Linked DNA regions of Oryctolagus cuniculus. The protein of the gene in region 1 interacts with the protein of each later gene in a pairwise test. Links are inferred from orthologs where the notes say so. Each region holds a gene or a part of one and is shown in the gene's direction. Other genes may lie near its edges.

The links. The genes of interacting proteins can lie anywhere in the genome.
Region 2: the proteins of AP2B1 (region 1) and NEU4 interact in binary tests that used the Homo sapiens proteins (3 or more experiments, as listed by UniProt). The two-hybrid records come from large-scale screens. The link is inferred for Oryctolagus cuniculus from reciprocal best matches to the Homo sapiens genes AP2B1 and NEU4.

Annotation. Positions count from the first base shown.
Region 1 is NC_091448.1:38,973,167-38,980,994, reverse strand, and holds part of AP2B1 (AP-2 complex subunit beta), read left to right. Parts: intron 1-491; coding exon 492-607; intron 608-4,784; coding exon 4,785-4,950; intron 4,951-7,040; coding exon 7,041-7,139; intron 7,140-7,828. UniProt on the Homo sapiens protein: Component of the adaptor protein complex 2 (AP-2). Adaptor protein complexes function in protein transport via transport vesicles in different membrane traffic pathways.
Region 2 is NC_091434.1:76,933-84,207, reverse strand, and holds the end of NEU4 (sialidase-4), read left to right. Parts: 5' UTR 1-105; intron 106-128; exon of another isoform or gene 129-550; intron 551-1,918; 5' UTR 1,919-1,938; coding exon 1,939-2,139; intron 2,140-2,253; coding exon 2,254-2,509; intron 2,510-3,086; coding exon 3,087-4,048; 3' UTR 4,049-4,319; downstream 4,320-7,275. UniProt on the Homo sapiens protein: Exo-alpha-sialidase that catalyzes the hydrolytic cleavage of the terminal sialic acid (N-acetylneuraminic acid, Neu5Ac) of a glycan moiety in the catabolism of glycolipids, glycoproteins and oligosacharides.

The DNA of each region.
Region 1 (7,828 bases):
AGAGATTTAGATTATGGGTAGCTATGAAAAACAGAATGAGAGAGGTGGGTCTTCTCCTTAAAGAATATGCTTATATGCTTATACACAATCTGGCAAATTTGTTTCAAGAAATGTAAAGACACTCTCTGCTGTCTCCATTCATCCATGAACTCCAGTTAAAGATGTTCTGCTTGGTTTAATTTTGAATTTTTATTCTTGCCTCATCTTGGCTTATTCTTTGTTATCATTTCTGTTCTCCTGGCTGTCCAAGAGATTTTTTTTCCCCAAGAGATTTGAATCGACTAATCTCTCAATATATTTTGTAATGAGCAAGATTTGAGGTATTTAGAACTGCTGTTGATTTACATAAGATAACCCAGCATCAAATTAAGGTCATGATTGTTTTCTTTAGTTGATACAAGTGTATGTTTCAAACTTATTTTTTTCTTCATGTTGAAATAGTATCACTAGATAGATTATCTGACTTCTCATTTTTTATGTTCCTCTTCCAGCAATCAGCAGAGCGCTGTGTCAGCACGTTGCTTGATCTAATCCAGACCAAAGTAAATTATGTGGTCCAAGAGGCGATTGTTGTCATCAGGGACATCTTCCGCAAATACCCTAACAAGTACGTCCAAGTGCTGCTATCTCCTTTTCTAAAATCAGTTAGGAAATGTTTAAGTAAAGTGCTTTGTAATTGGCTGGTAAGAAGTACTCTCTTTTTTTTTTTTTTTTTTTGACAGGCAAAGTGGACAGTGAGAGAGAGAGAAACAGAGAGAAAGGTCTTCCTTTGCCGTTGGTTCACCCTCCAATGGCCGCTGCGGCCGGCGCGCTGCGGCCGGCGTACCACGCTGAACCGATGGCAAGAGCCAGGTACTTATCCTGGTCTCCCATGGGGTACAGGGCCCAAGCACTTGGGCCATCCTCCACTGCACTCCCTGGCCACAGCAGAGAGCTGGCCTGGAAAAGGGGCAACCGGGACAGAATCTGGTGCCCCAACCGGGACTAGAACCCAGTGTGCCGGCGCCGCAAGGTGGAGGATTAGCCTAGTGAGCCGCGGCGCCGGCCGAGAAGTACTCTTTTTAACTAAAGTTTGAATTTTCACTCTGCTTTATTACTTTAAAAGAAATGAAAACCTGCCTGAATATACATGATAAATTAATATATTTTATGGTTAACATAACCAGATTCTTTGTTTTTAAAAAAAAGCATTTTGTGACCGGCGCCATGGCTCACTTGACTAATCATCTGCCTGTGGCGCCGGCACCCCGGGTTCTCGTCCCGGTTGGGGCACCGGGTACTAGTCCTGGTTGCTCCTCTTCCAGTCCAGCTCTCTGCTGTGGCCCAGGAGGGCAGTGGAGGATGGCCCAGGTGCTTGGGTCCCTGCACCTGCATGGGAGACCGGGAGGAAGCACCTGGCACCTGGCTCCTGGCGCAGCACCGGCCGTGGTGGCCATTAGGGGAGTGAACCAATGGAAGGAGGACCTTTCTCTCTGTCTCTCTCACTGTCTCTAACTCTACCTATCAAATAAAAATTTAAAAACATTTTGTTTGTACTGTATTTTTATATTATTTTTTAGTTTTTTAAAAATTTATTTGAAAGGCAGAGAGAGATCCCCCATCCGCTAGTTCACTCACAAATGCCCAGAACAGCTAGGGTTGGACCAGCCCAGAAGCCTGGATCTCAATCCAGGTCTCCCACATGGGTGGCAGGGACTCAATTACTTGAGCCGTCATTCACTGCCTACCAGATGCACATTAGCAGGAAGCTGGAATTGGGAGTAGAACTGGCAGTTGAACCTGCACACTCCAATATGGAATTTAGACATCCCAAATACCAGCTTAATGGCTGCACCAAATGCATAGACCCCAACCAGAATCTTTGATGGTGAAGTTGCCGTTAACGAGAATACCTAGGGGTGGCTATCGAGGCATAGCTGTTAAGCTGCCCCATGGGAAGCAACATCCCATATCAGAGTGCCTGGAATTGAGTCCTGCCTCCACTACCAATTCCAGCATTCTGCCATTGTGCACCCCGGGAGGCAGCAAGTGATGGCTCAAGTACTTATGTCCCTGACACCCATGTGAGAGACCTGGATAAAGCTTCTGGCTCCTGGCTTTGACTTGGCCCAGTCTTGGCTGTTGCAGGTATTTAGAGAGTGAAACAGCAGATAGAAGATCTCTCTGTCTGTAGCTGTGCCTTTCAAATGAAGTTAATTAGTTAATTAATTAAAAATAGGCCAAATCAGTTTGCTGGGAATGCAGTCTAGGTCTCCCACATGGATGTCAGGGACTCAGCTGAACTGTCACCTGACACTTTGCAGGGTGTGCGGCAGCAGGAAGCTGGAATCTGGAGTAGAGCTGAAGCTCAAACCCAGGGCACTCTGATATGGGATGTTAGTGTCCTAGGTTAGATGATGAAAGCAAGCAATTGAAGAATCTGAAACAGTGAAATAACAATGAAATCTCATTTTGCTTTTACAGTAATAGAGATAGCTTTGCTGAAGCTCCTGATTAGTCTTAAAGATAATGTAGTAAGTTGGCTTGGTGGTATGCTCAAGAATTAGTGGAAGGGCAGGCTCTGTGGTATAGCCGTAAGAATGCTGCCCCCAGTGCTGGCATCCCATATGGGTGCTGGTTTGAGTCCTGGCTGCTCCACTTCCAATCCTGCTCCCTGCTATGGCCTAGGAAAGCAGTAGAAGATGACCCAAGTCCTTCAGCCCCTGCACCTGCATGGGAGACCCAGAGGAGGCTCCTGGCTCCTGGCTTCAGATTGGCCTAGCTCTGACCATTGTGGCCATTTGGGGAGTAAACCAGTGGATAGAAGACCCATCTCTTTCTATCTCTCTTTCTCTCTCTCTGCCTCTGTCTCTTTGTAACTCTGCCTTTCAAAATAATTAATAAATCTTTTAAAAAAAGAATTAGTAAAAATATTTTGGCAAAGTAATGGTGTATTAAGCATTGTATATATTTCTAAAAATTTTAGAAATGGTGTTTTTGAAGAAGAGACCATATATTTTTGCCATTCTCCCAGAAAAGAGAAGGATTTTTTTTTTTTTTTTTTTTAAGATTTTGTTTATTTGAAAGGTAGAATAATAGACAGAGGGAAAGACAGAGAGAAAGGTCCTCCATCCGCTGGCTCATCCCCAAATGGCTGTAGCAACCGGCGCTGGGATCATCTAAAGACAGGAGCTAGGAGCCTACTCCAGGTCTTCCACGCCAGCACAGGGACCCAAGCACCTAGGCCATCCTCCACTGCCTTCCCAGGCCACAGCAGAGAGCCAGATTGAAAGAGGAGCAGCCAACACATGAACTGGCACCCATGTGGGATGTTGGCACTGCAGGCAGAGGCCCAGTCCACTGAGCCACAGCACTGGCCCCCTGAGGATTGGGTTTTTCAATTTCTTAATTAAGTATGATGCTGTATTAGTTACATAGTATGAAATAAGAAGACAAATGCATTTTGTTTTTGTTATTAAGGGGTCATGACAGTTCTAAGAAAGCAATCAGGAGTCTGGTTTAATCAGTGGAAGTAGGGCAGACAAGTGTACTATTCAGTTGTTTGCTTCTAATTTATTATATGTATCATTCTGATGTTTACAATCATGTTAGCCAGATAGATGGTTTTAACATGTCTATAAAAATAATAATAAATTTTTGAGTTATTTCTTCCTTTGGAGAAATATTTTTGTTTGTGCTTCGAGAAGAAAGAACATAACCATACCTGTTATAAAAAGGAGAGATAAGGGGCATTGTGGCATAGGAGGTTTAGGCAATGCTAGCATCCCCTGTGGGTGTCAATTCATGTACTGGCTGCTCAATTTCTGATCCAGCTCCCTGCTAACTGCTTGGAAAAGTAGCAAAAGATTGCCGAAGTGGTTGGGCCCCTGTACCCCTGTGGGAGACCTGGAAGAAGCTCCTGGGCTTCATCCTGGTCCAGATCTGGCTGTTGTGGCCAATTGGAAGATCTGTCTCTCCCTCTCTCTCTGCAACTCTGCCTTTCAAATAAATAATTTTTTAAAGGAGAGGTAAGTGGATTAAGGGACAAAATTATCTGAAAATTGTTGTTTTCTAACTCCATTTTTCTAAAAGTAAAGATTTCTCTTCCTCTCTAGAATGAAGTCAAATGGAATAATAGGAAAATTCTCGATCTAGTTGTAAGAAAGATTACTAGAATACCAAGTAGTTGTAGTATCTTAACAACCACAGGTTTATTTTCCCTTGAGAAATAATACCTGATGAGTTTTAATAAAAGTTTATGAGTTAAGTCTTAAAGCATAATTGAACAGCTGGCATTGTGGTATAACAGGTTAAGCCACTGCCTGCTATACTGACATCCCATTTGGGTGCCAGTTTGAGTACCGGCTGCTCCACTTCTGATCCAACTCCCTGCTAATATGCCTGGGGAAGCAGCAGAAGATGTCTCAAGTGCTTGGGTCCCCACACTCATGTGGGAGACCTGGATGAAGCTCCTCACTCCTGGTTTCAGCCTGGCCCAACCCTGGCTGTTAGAGCCATTTGGGGAGCAAACCAGCAGAAAATCAATCAATCAATCTCTCTCTCTCTCTCTCTCTCTCTCTCTATCTGTAATTCTGCCTTTCAAATATAATAAAATAAATCTTTTAAAAAAATTGAAAGCTAATTATAATCTTCTGACTTAATACTTATATATTTTCTTAACTATAAAAGCTTTTCTAGTTTGGTGGCTTGTTTTAGGATCCCTTGTTCATGGTTTGCTTTTAACTTTAACTCTGAAATGTGTTCTTTGTTTTGTCCTCAGTAACCATAGTCTCTTGTTGCTTCAGGTATGAAAGTATCATCGCCACTCTGTGTGAGAACTTAGACTCCCTGGATGAACCAGATGCTCGAGCGGCTATGATCTGGATTGTAGGAGAATATGCTGAGAGAATTGACAATGCAGATGAGTTACTGGAGAGCTTCCTGGAGGGTTTTCATGATGAGAGCACCCAGGTAAACTTTCAGCCATCCTGTGTCCTGTGTCTGTGGGAAGACTTCAGAAAAAGTAAAGATTTGAGTGTGTATGTATTTATGTATATGCTCAGGTTGAGCATCCTGTACCCCAAATGCTTAGAACCAAGAAATATTTCATATTTTGAGTTTTTTCAAACTTTGAAGTATTTCCATGTACATAATGAGATAAATATCTTGGGGATGAAATCCAAGTCTAAACAGAAAATTCATTTATGTCTCATATACCTTATACACATAGCCTAAAGGTATTTTTATAGAATGTTTTTAGCATGCATGCATTTTGACTGCAACCCATCACTTTTTTTTTTGACAGGCAGAGTGGACAGTAGAGAGAGAGACAGAGAGAAAGGTCTTCCTTTTGCTGTTGGTTCACCCTCCAATGGCCGCCGCGGCCGGCACGCTGCGGCCAGCACACCACGCTGATCCGAAGGCAGGAGCCAGGTGCTCCTCCTGGTCTCCCATGGGGTGCAGGGCCCAAGCACTTGGGCCATCCTCCACTGCCTTCCCAGAGAGCTGGCCTGGAAGAGGGGCAACCGGGACAGAATCTGGCGCCCCGACCAAGACTAGAACCTGGTGTGCCGGCGCCGCTAGGTGGAGGATTAGCCTATTGAGCCGCGGCGCCGGCCCTGCAACCCATCACTTTAAGTTGGGTGTGGAATTTTCCACTTGTGTTGTCATGTCTGTGCTTTAAAAGTTTTGGATTTTGGAGCATTTCAGATTTTTGATTTTCAGATTAGGGTTTCTCCACCTGTAGCATGTTGATTTTTCATCCAAAAGGGATGACCCTTTTCATTTGTATACTGATTTCTAGTGTAATAAATTTAGACCAGTGGTTCTGAAACTTTAATGAGGATTAGAAGCACCTGGAGGCTTTTTAAAGCCTCTGGACCTCTGGTCTCCACCATGTCTGACTCAGTAGGTCTGAGATAGATCCAAGTACTTGTATAATTAAAAGGTCCTGGTCCAAAACCTCACTTTGAGAACCACTGGTTTACAGCCTAAGTCACCAGTTTTTATTTCCTATAGACTAAGAACGATCATACATTTCTATTAGTAGTGGTTTGGCTCAATACAGCAGGGATTTTCACCTCCAACTGCAGGGAGAGGGAGAGGGAAAGGAAGAGGGAGAGGATAGACTCCTTCCTGTCGCCCATCACTCTCCCCTACCACAGTTAAAGCTACAAGGCTAGAGAAGCAGACACATCAGTAAGCTCCTTGGTATTTGTACTCACAGCAAATAGAAGTTCATGTGTATACCCCACCATAGTGATTTTAAGAGACATAATACAAGAAATGTGTATACAAGCCAGTAATTTTGTGACTCAGTAGCTGTGATCTGACATAATTCTACTGCCTTGGATGTTGCTCCAGTATGACAGATGATTCCATAATTGTCTCAAAATTGTAGCTTTTCATAGCACTAAATAATAAAAGACTTGGTCAGGAGCTAGTTTTATAGCCATCAGTATTTTAGCATGTATTATTTTAAAAGATATTTTTATTTGAAAGGCAAAGTGAAAGAGATCTTCCACTCACTGGTTCACTCCACAAATGGCTACAACAGCTGGAGCTGGACCAGGACAAAGTAAAGAGCCAAGAACTCCATCCATGTCTCCCACATGGATGGCAAGGACTTAAATACTTAAGCCATCATCCAGTGCCTTCCCAGGCACATTAACAGGGAACTGGATCAGAAGTGAAATAGTTGGCGATTTGAACCGGCCCTCTTATGTGGGATGTGAGCATCCCCAGTGGCTGCTTAACCTACAATGCCCACCTCCAGTTATTTTAAAAAGTACATGTGATTATCTGGCTGAGAAATGAATAAGGAATTTTTGCTGTGCAAAATGTAATTTCAGGATAGAAGGCTAGTGAGTTTTCAGTTGAATACCCTTGTTTTTGAAATGAATATCTTTGACTGTTATTGTTGAATTAGCTGAGTTTCAACTTTTGTTTCTTAACCAAAATTAGAAAGGACTTATATTGGTTCATAATTGATAAGATACCACTTTGGAAATGATGACAGGAAATACAAATGTCTTCTGCTTTATCAAATTTTCTCTATTTAGGTGCAGCTTACTCTGCTTACTGCCATAGTGAAGCTGTTTCTTAAGAAACCATCAGAAACACAAGAGTTGGTCCAGCAGGTTTTGAGTTTGGCAACACAGGTAAGAAATCTGGAAAAAACATGGATTGATATGTATTATTTGAAATTATAGAAAATTATTATACTTGAAGATTCACATGGGGACATTTTGTTTATTTGAGAGAGAGAGAGACTGTTCCCATCCACTGGTTTACTTCCCAAATCCCTGGAGCAGGTCTCTCACATGGGTGGTAAGCACTCTTACCAAAGTCAACGCTGAGCAATCCACTGCAGCCTCCCAGGGTATGCATTAGCAGGAAGCTGGGTTTTGAAATCTGCACTGAAACTTCAACTTAGGCACTCAGACATGGGGTGCACGCATCCCTAGCCAGCACCTTAATGGCCACACTAGATAGCCATTTCCATTTGAGGAAGTTATAATTGAAAGAGATGTAAGATTTATTTATTTACTTATTTTTTATAAAAGGTTTATGACACATTAGCATGGAGCTAGCTTAGAAGCAGAGAAGCCAGAACTCAAACCAGCATTCATATAGGATGCTGGCATTGTAGGCAGTGGTTCAGCCTGCTACGCCACAAAGCCGGCCCTAAGATACAGCCTCTAGATCCTGTTAAAATATTAAAAGTGTTGCTCCTTGGAGCAGGCATTGGGCGCAGCAGGTAAGATGCCACTTGGGGTGCCTCATTCCATATTGGAGCACCTGGCTTTAGTCCTGGCTCAGCTTTCAATTTCAGCTTTCTGCTTATGTG
Region 2 (7,275 bases), on another chromosome or scaffold:
CTGGCCCGGAGCTGTGCCGCAGCTGCGGGGCTGGCTGAGGTGGGCAGGGGCAGAGGACGAGGCTGCGGGGCTGGCGGCCGAGCGTGTACCAGGCTCTCTCCTCAGGTGAGTGTCCATCCCTTCACACCACGCTGCAGCACACGGGGCCCAGCTGTCTCCATGTGCTTCAGTGGCTCTGTGGGGTTCTGCTGCCTCCTCCTGTTTCTCTCTGTGTATGGCCTGGCTGTGGCCTGGCCGGGGTGGCTGGCTGTGGGCCCGACTGCTCTGGTCCTCCTCGTCTGTGGCATCTTTCCCCCTCTATGTGCCGGACTGGGCACCCTCTCACGGCCTGGATCCGCCTCTGTAAACCAGATAGGGCCCTGCACCTGCTGGGCTGGCTGAGCTGAGCAGGCTGGCGGGGTGGCCTTGGCAAGCTGACCTCGCCCCAGACGCCTCCACCTGGCACTGCTCTGTGCTGGGGGCTCACTTGGGGCCCACTCACAGGGCTGAGGCTGTCTTGGGCCCGTGCTGGGCAGGGGGTGTCCGTTTCCTGTGCTGCTCAGGTGCCCAGGTAAGGGCCCTGCAGGTGGGTATGCAAGGTCAGGGAGCAGCTGCTAGAAGAGGGGGGTCACACGTGTCCCCTGAAGGAGCCCTGCTGGTGCTGTACTGAACACCAGGTTTGGGAAGTGGCTGAGGGACAGGGTTGAGGGTGGCCGTGGGAGGGAGGGCTTTTCCCACACCTGCTCTCCCGACCTTGAGTGATGTGCAGCTTCTGCCATACTCCTCCCCCCCCCCCCACCTCCAGGAAGCCCACCTGGCCTCCAGCCCCAGCTTCTGTCCTGCATGTGCCCTGGCTCCTGGGGGCCTCTCATCTCCCTTCCATTGCTGCTGTCTCCAGCTGCAGTCCACACTCACCAGCCGTGTGGCTCCTCTCGCTGGGAGGGCTCGGTGGGGAGTGGTTGTGGCCCTGTGGCCCTCGGGGTCCCTCTAGGAGTCTGGCATGCGCACCCCTGGGACTCAGGGCACACCTGGGAGCCACTTGGGGTCCATTCCCACCCCACCCCTCCCCCTACTTTGGGTTGGCCAAAGGTTCCCAGTGTGTCCTTGTGTGTCTGTGTGTGTCCCTGTGTGTTCATGTGTCCCTGCATGCCTGTATGTGTCCCTCTGTGTGTCCCTGTGTGTCTCTGTGTGTGTCCCTCTGTCTGTGTGTCCCTGTGTGTTCATGTGTCCCTGTGTGTCTGTGTGTGTCTTTGTATGTCTGCTCCTGTGTGTCCCTATGTGTCCATCTGTGTGTGTCTCCATGTGTGTCCCTGAATGTTTGTGTGTGCCCCTCTGTGTCTGTGTGTCCCTGTGTGTTGCTGTGTGTCCCTGTGTGTCTGTGTGCGTGTTCCTGTGTGTTCATGTGTCCCTGCGTATCCATGTGTCCCTGTGTGTTCATGTGTCCCTGTGTGTCTGTGTGTGTCTGCCCATGTGTGTCTGTGTGTGTGTGTCTCCGTGTGTGTCCCTGCATGTCTGTGTGTGTCCCTCTGTGTGTCCCTGTGTGTTGCTGTGTGTTCATGTGTCCCTGTGTGTCTGTCTATGTCTCTGTGTGTCCATGTGTGTGTCCCTGTGTGTCCCTGCATGTCTGTGTGTGTCCCTGTGTGTTGCTGTGTGTTCATGTGTCCTCATGTGTCTCTGTATGTCCCTGTGTGTGTCTGTCTGTCCCTGTGTGTGTGTCTGTCTGTCCATGTGTGTCCCTGTGTGTGTCTCCGTGTGCTGACAGGAGGGGCTGGCTCCACAAGCACTAGGGGAAAAGTCAGTGTGGGGAGTGGCTTCCCTGGGGTGAAGGAACTGCAGACAGGGCTGTCCCCGAGGCACGCACAGGGAGGGGCCTGGGTGCTGGCCGGGATGGGGGATGGCTGTACCTGTCGTGCCCCATCCTCAATGCAGCTCCCTGCAGCCTGCTGTGATCAGCAGAGCATGGAGCCCCCTCGTGTCCCCACCCGGACCGTGCTGTTCCAGCGGGAGCGGACCGGCCTGACCTACCGCGTGCCTGCACTGCTCCCCGTGCCCCCTGGGCCCACCCTGCTGGCCTTCGCGGAGCAGCGGCTCAGCCCGGATGACTCCCATGCCCACCGCCTGGTGCTGAGGAGGGGCACGCTGGCCAGGGGCTCTGTGCGGGTGAGCGATAGGGTGGGCAGGGGCTCCAGGAGAGGGCAGCATGCAGGGAGACTGAGGGTGGCTGGCAGGGTGCCTTGGTCTGGGAGTCCTGAGCACAGCCCCCCCCATCTGCAGTGGGGTGCCCTGTGTGTGCTGGATGCTGCAGCCCTGCAAGGCCACCGCTCCATGAACCCCTGCCCCGTGCACGACACCAGCACCGGCACCATCTTCCTCTTCTTCATTGCCGTGCTGGGCCACACGTCCGAGGCCGTTCAGATTACTACAGGCAGGAACGCCGCCCGCCTCTGCTGTGTGACCAGCCGCGACGCCGGTTTCACCTGGAGCAGCGCCCGGGACCTCACCGAGGAGGCCATTGGCGACGCTGTGCAGGGTAGGCAGCGGGGGTCCCTCAGTCCACATGTGTGGGAGGCCCTACCAGTCCACCCTTTTCTGGCACTGTCCATCACCCCCGGGCTTCTCAGTCCCAGCCAACATTAGCATCCCTTCCTCACCCTCTGGCCGCCTGGGGCAGGGCAGGAGCAGCGGCCACAGCTGAACCACAGGCTCTCAGGTCTTTATCTGTAGAGGTCATCCCCTCCCCCAAACCCAGCACTCCTGCCCAGGCCTGGCCCAAGCCCCAGGCTTCCCTCCCCTGCTGCTGCCCCCTCCCCCAGAGCTCTGACACTTTGGAGGGCTGTAGCACCTCCCCTCTGAGGCTCCGCCCTCTGCTGCTCCGTCCATCTGGGCATCACTCATACCAGGTACCCTGATTCTGGGCTGGCAAGAGCCTGGCTCAGTGGGCTCCTGGGCTCCTGCAATGCCCATGGGAGGCTTGTCCAGCCAGGAAGGCCTCAGAGTGGAGTGTGGAGGGGCGGCCTGCCTGCCCGCTGCCCTAATCCCAGGCATGTGCCCTCGCTGCCCTCCTGTGCCCCCATCTCCACCCCCACCTCCACCTCTGCCCTCTGTAGACTGGGCCACCTTCGCAGTGGGCCCAGGCCATGGTGTCCAGCTGCACTCAGGCCGCCTGCTGGTGCCTGCCTACACCTACCATGTGGACCGTCGCGAGTGCTTTGGGAAGATCTGCCGGACCAGCCCCCACTCCTTCGCCTTTTACAGTGACGACCACGGCAGCACCTGGCGCCACGGGGGCCTCGTGCCCAACCTGCGCTCGGGCGAGTGCCAGCTGGCCGCACTGGGGGACAGCCTCCTCTACTGCAATGCCCGGAGCCCCCTGGGCAGCCGTGTGCAGGCCCTGAGCACCGACGGGGGCAGCTCCTTCCTGGCTGGGGAGCTGGTGCCTGCCCTTGCCGAGACGGCCCGGGGCTGCCAGGGCAGCATCGTGGGCTTCCCAGCCCCACCCCCCAGCAGACCCCAGGGTGACGGAGCGTCCACAGGCACCAGGAGCCTCCCTCACTGTGTGCACCTCTGTCCTGGATTCCAGGAAGCCCCAGAGGCTGGTGCTGGAGGCCCCTGTGAACCCCAGGTGCCCTGCGGGCCCTCCTGCCTCCCGCAGGCCCGGAGTGCTGGGCTGGGACAATCTGGCCCAGCGGTGGGGCCTGGGGGGCTCCCTGCAGCCTCTGCGGTGTCCCCTCAGAGGCCTGCCTGGCTGCTGTACTCACACCCCACGGGGCGCAGGGCTCGGCTCCACATGGGGGTCCGCCTGAGCCGCACCCCCCTGGACCCCCGCAGTTGGACGGTGCCCTGGGTGATCTACGAGGGCCCTAGCGGCTACTCGGACCTGGCGTCCCTCGGGCCTGTCCTTGCGGGAGCCCCGGCCTTCGCCTGCCTGTTCGAGAGTGGGGCCAGGGCCTCTTACGAGGAGCTCTCCTTCTGCTTGTTCTCGCTGGACGAAGTCCTGGAGAACATTCCCCCCGGCCGCCAGCCGCCCAGCTGCACGGACAAGCCTTCCGGGACCTGCCAGTCCTCCTGATGGCCGACGCAGGCTGTGGGAGGCCGGGGTCACCCCAGCATGGACAGAACCCTGGGAGAGGGGGAGGGAGCTCTGGCAGGGCTGGGGCGGCTCTCATGGCAGCCGTGGGGGTGGCCGGGCTGGGGACCAGCTGACCCTGGGTGATGGCCGGCTTCCTTCTGAGGCTGCCTGAGCGGGCGTTGGGACCTCAGAGAGCCCGGGCCCGGGGATGGCTGCGGCGAGTCTTCTTTCTCACACCCTGGCTCACAAATGCTGAATAAACAGGTGAGAGTCCAGGTGGGTGTTTCTTTCCACCAAATGGGGAGGGCCTTGGACCCCCACCAAATTTCCCCTCCCCAGCCAGTGTGTTGCTAGAGAAGCTGGCTTGACACGGGCTGAGGGGGCTGCCCAAGGACAGAGGCTGTGGGGAAGCATCGGGGTGCACCACAGGGGCAGAGCGACTGTGTGAGAGCCAGTCGGGGAGGCCAGAGGGGCCTGCAGTGGACCCTCCAATCCCTACTTCTCCCAGGCTCGAGTCCGCCTAGACACCATGGGCTGGGGGTGTATATCTACACTGCACACTGGCTCCCTGCAGACAAGGGTGGTTCTGTCTACACTGCACCTCTAACTCCCTGTAGACAAGGGGTTGTCTACACTGCACCTCTAACTCCCTGCAGACAAGGGGTTCTGTCTACACTGCACACTGACTCCCTGTAGACAAGGAGGGGTTCTGTCTATACTGCACACTGACTCTCTGTAGACAAGGGGGTCTGTCTACACTGCACCTCTAACTCCCAACAGACAAGGGGTTCTGTCCACACTGCACACTGACTCCCTGTAGACAAAGGGGTTCTGTCTACACTGCACACTGACTCCCTGTAGACAAAGGGGGTTCTGTCTGCACTGTACACTGACTCCCTGCAGACAAGGAGGGGTCTGTCTACACTGCACACTGACTCTCTGCAGACAAGGGGTTCTGTCTACACTGCACCTCTGCAGACAAGGGGGGTCTGTCTACACTGCACCTCTAACTCCCTGCAGACAAGGGGGGGTCTGTCTACACTGCATCTCTAACTCCCTGAAGACAAGGGTGGTCTGTCTACACTACACCTCTAACTCCCTGCAGACAAGGAGGGGTCTGTCTACACTGCACACTGATTCCCTATAGACAAGGGGGTTCTGTCCACACTGCACACTGACTCCCTATAGACAAGGAGGGGTCTGTCTACACTGCACACTGACTCCCTGTAGACAAAGGGGGTTCTGTCTGCACTGCACACTGACTCTCTGCAGACAAGGAGGGGTCTGTCTACACTGCACACTAACTCCCTGCAGACAAGGGGGGTCTGTCTACACTGCACACTGACTCCCTATAGACAAGGGGGTTCTGTCTACACTGCACACTGACTTCCTGCAGACAAGGGGGTTCTGTCTACACTGCACCTCTAACTCCCTGCAGACAAGGAGGGGTCTGTCTACACTGCACCTCTAACTTCCTGCAGACAAGGGGGTTCTGTCTATACTGCACACTGATTCCACGTGGCCTGATCAATGGTTCTCTCTGCCCTGGTATGGACTGAGTGACTTGCCGACCCTGGGTACTGTGTCAGGATCCCAGCCAGGGCTCCCACTCCATCCAGCAGTGCTGGGCACGGGCCCCCTGCCTGTGTCCAGTCCCTGCCCACCTGCGATGCCCAGGAAGGAGTGGGCAGAGGGTGTGGTGGGACAGTGTCCCTGTCCAAACACCTCAAGGCAGGGCTCAGGCTGGGCTGGGGGCTCATGCTCTGGGTCCCCCCCGCTGTGGCTCAGCCCGGAGGCTCGCTCCCCCATGTCCAGGCTGGCCACACCAGGGCCACTGAGGAGCTGCAGCTCAGCAGCTGGGTTGAGGCAGGGTTGTGGGTGGGGCTGGCAGCGCTGACACATGGGACATGGGCCCCGGAGGGACGGAAACAATGAGTGTGTTCCCGGAAGGCGTGCAAAGTGCTGACGGCGCCCCCTGGGCTGGCGCCCACCCCCACCCCCAGCCCCGGACGCCAGCCCGGCAGACCGCTTCCTCCTCCCCCGGCTTGGCTTTTTTTTTTTCTTCTTTAAATTCTGGTATTTTGGTGCTCAAGTTGCTCCTAACCTCCTTCCTCTGGGACCACGACTGTCCTGTACCCCCCCCCCCCCCCCCCGCTGCCGGGCTCGTCCAGGACTCACTGCACCTGTGCCCTGCAGAGCTCCCTCCTCCTCCTACTCAGGGCCAGCTGGTGAACCCCTGGCCCTGGGGTAGGGTTCCTTCCAGGGCCTGATGGGGCCGTCCCCTCCAGGTCTGCTGCCCCTTGCCAACAGCCTTGGTCCTCAGGCCACTGTCAGACCACTGCTGTCTGACTTTAATTTGTGCTTTTTTTTTTTTTTTTTTATGAGTGGAGTTGAAAATCTCATTGCTTTAGAAATATATGTGGAAGGGAACTTCAAACAGTTTGTGGCACAGCGGGTAAAGCCACCACCGCCTGTGACACCGGCATCCCACATCGACGCTGTTTCAAGTCTGGCTGCTCCACTTCTGATCCAGCTCCCTGCTAATGGTCTGGGAAAGCAGTGGAGGATGGCCCGAGTGCCTGGGCCCCTGCACCCACATGGGAGACCTGGAAGAAGTTCCTGGCTCCTGGCTTTGGTCTGGCTCAGCCCTGGCTGTCGCAGCCATCTCGGGAGTGAACCAGCAGATGGAAGATCTCTGTCTCTCCTCTCTCTCTCTGTAACCCTGACTTTCAAAATAAATAAATAAATCTTTAGAAAAACAAAAAATTGTGGAAAATGGAATTAAAAGATAACGCACCACTTGAATACCCCTTGTATACTCACAGGTGCATATTCGTGTTACACATGCATACATATGCCTGCACACTGCACACACATACACATGCAGCACACGCCTGTGCAAGACACACACATACAGCCACATACACATGTCACAGCGCGCACATGTAGGTCCACACTGTATACCCGTATGTGCTCATACACACATGTGTGTACACAGTTTTACCATCCTGTCCACTTTCCTTCTGCACTCGGATCCTGGCCCTGCCCAGGCAGTGGCTCCTTCTGTGTGGGAGGCAGTTCTCCGTGGCAGTGAGAACAGCTTCGTCGGTTGGAGGCAATGGTTCTCTGCCACCCAAGCCTTCTGCTTTCTGACTTGAGGAGCTGGGTACCTAAGTCTCTTCTGTGATTGCCCTCGACCTGGACCTGCCACAGCCATGCCATCAGGG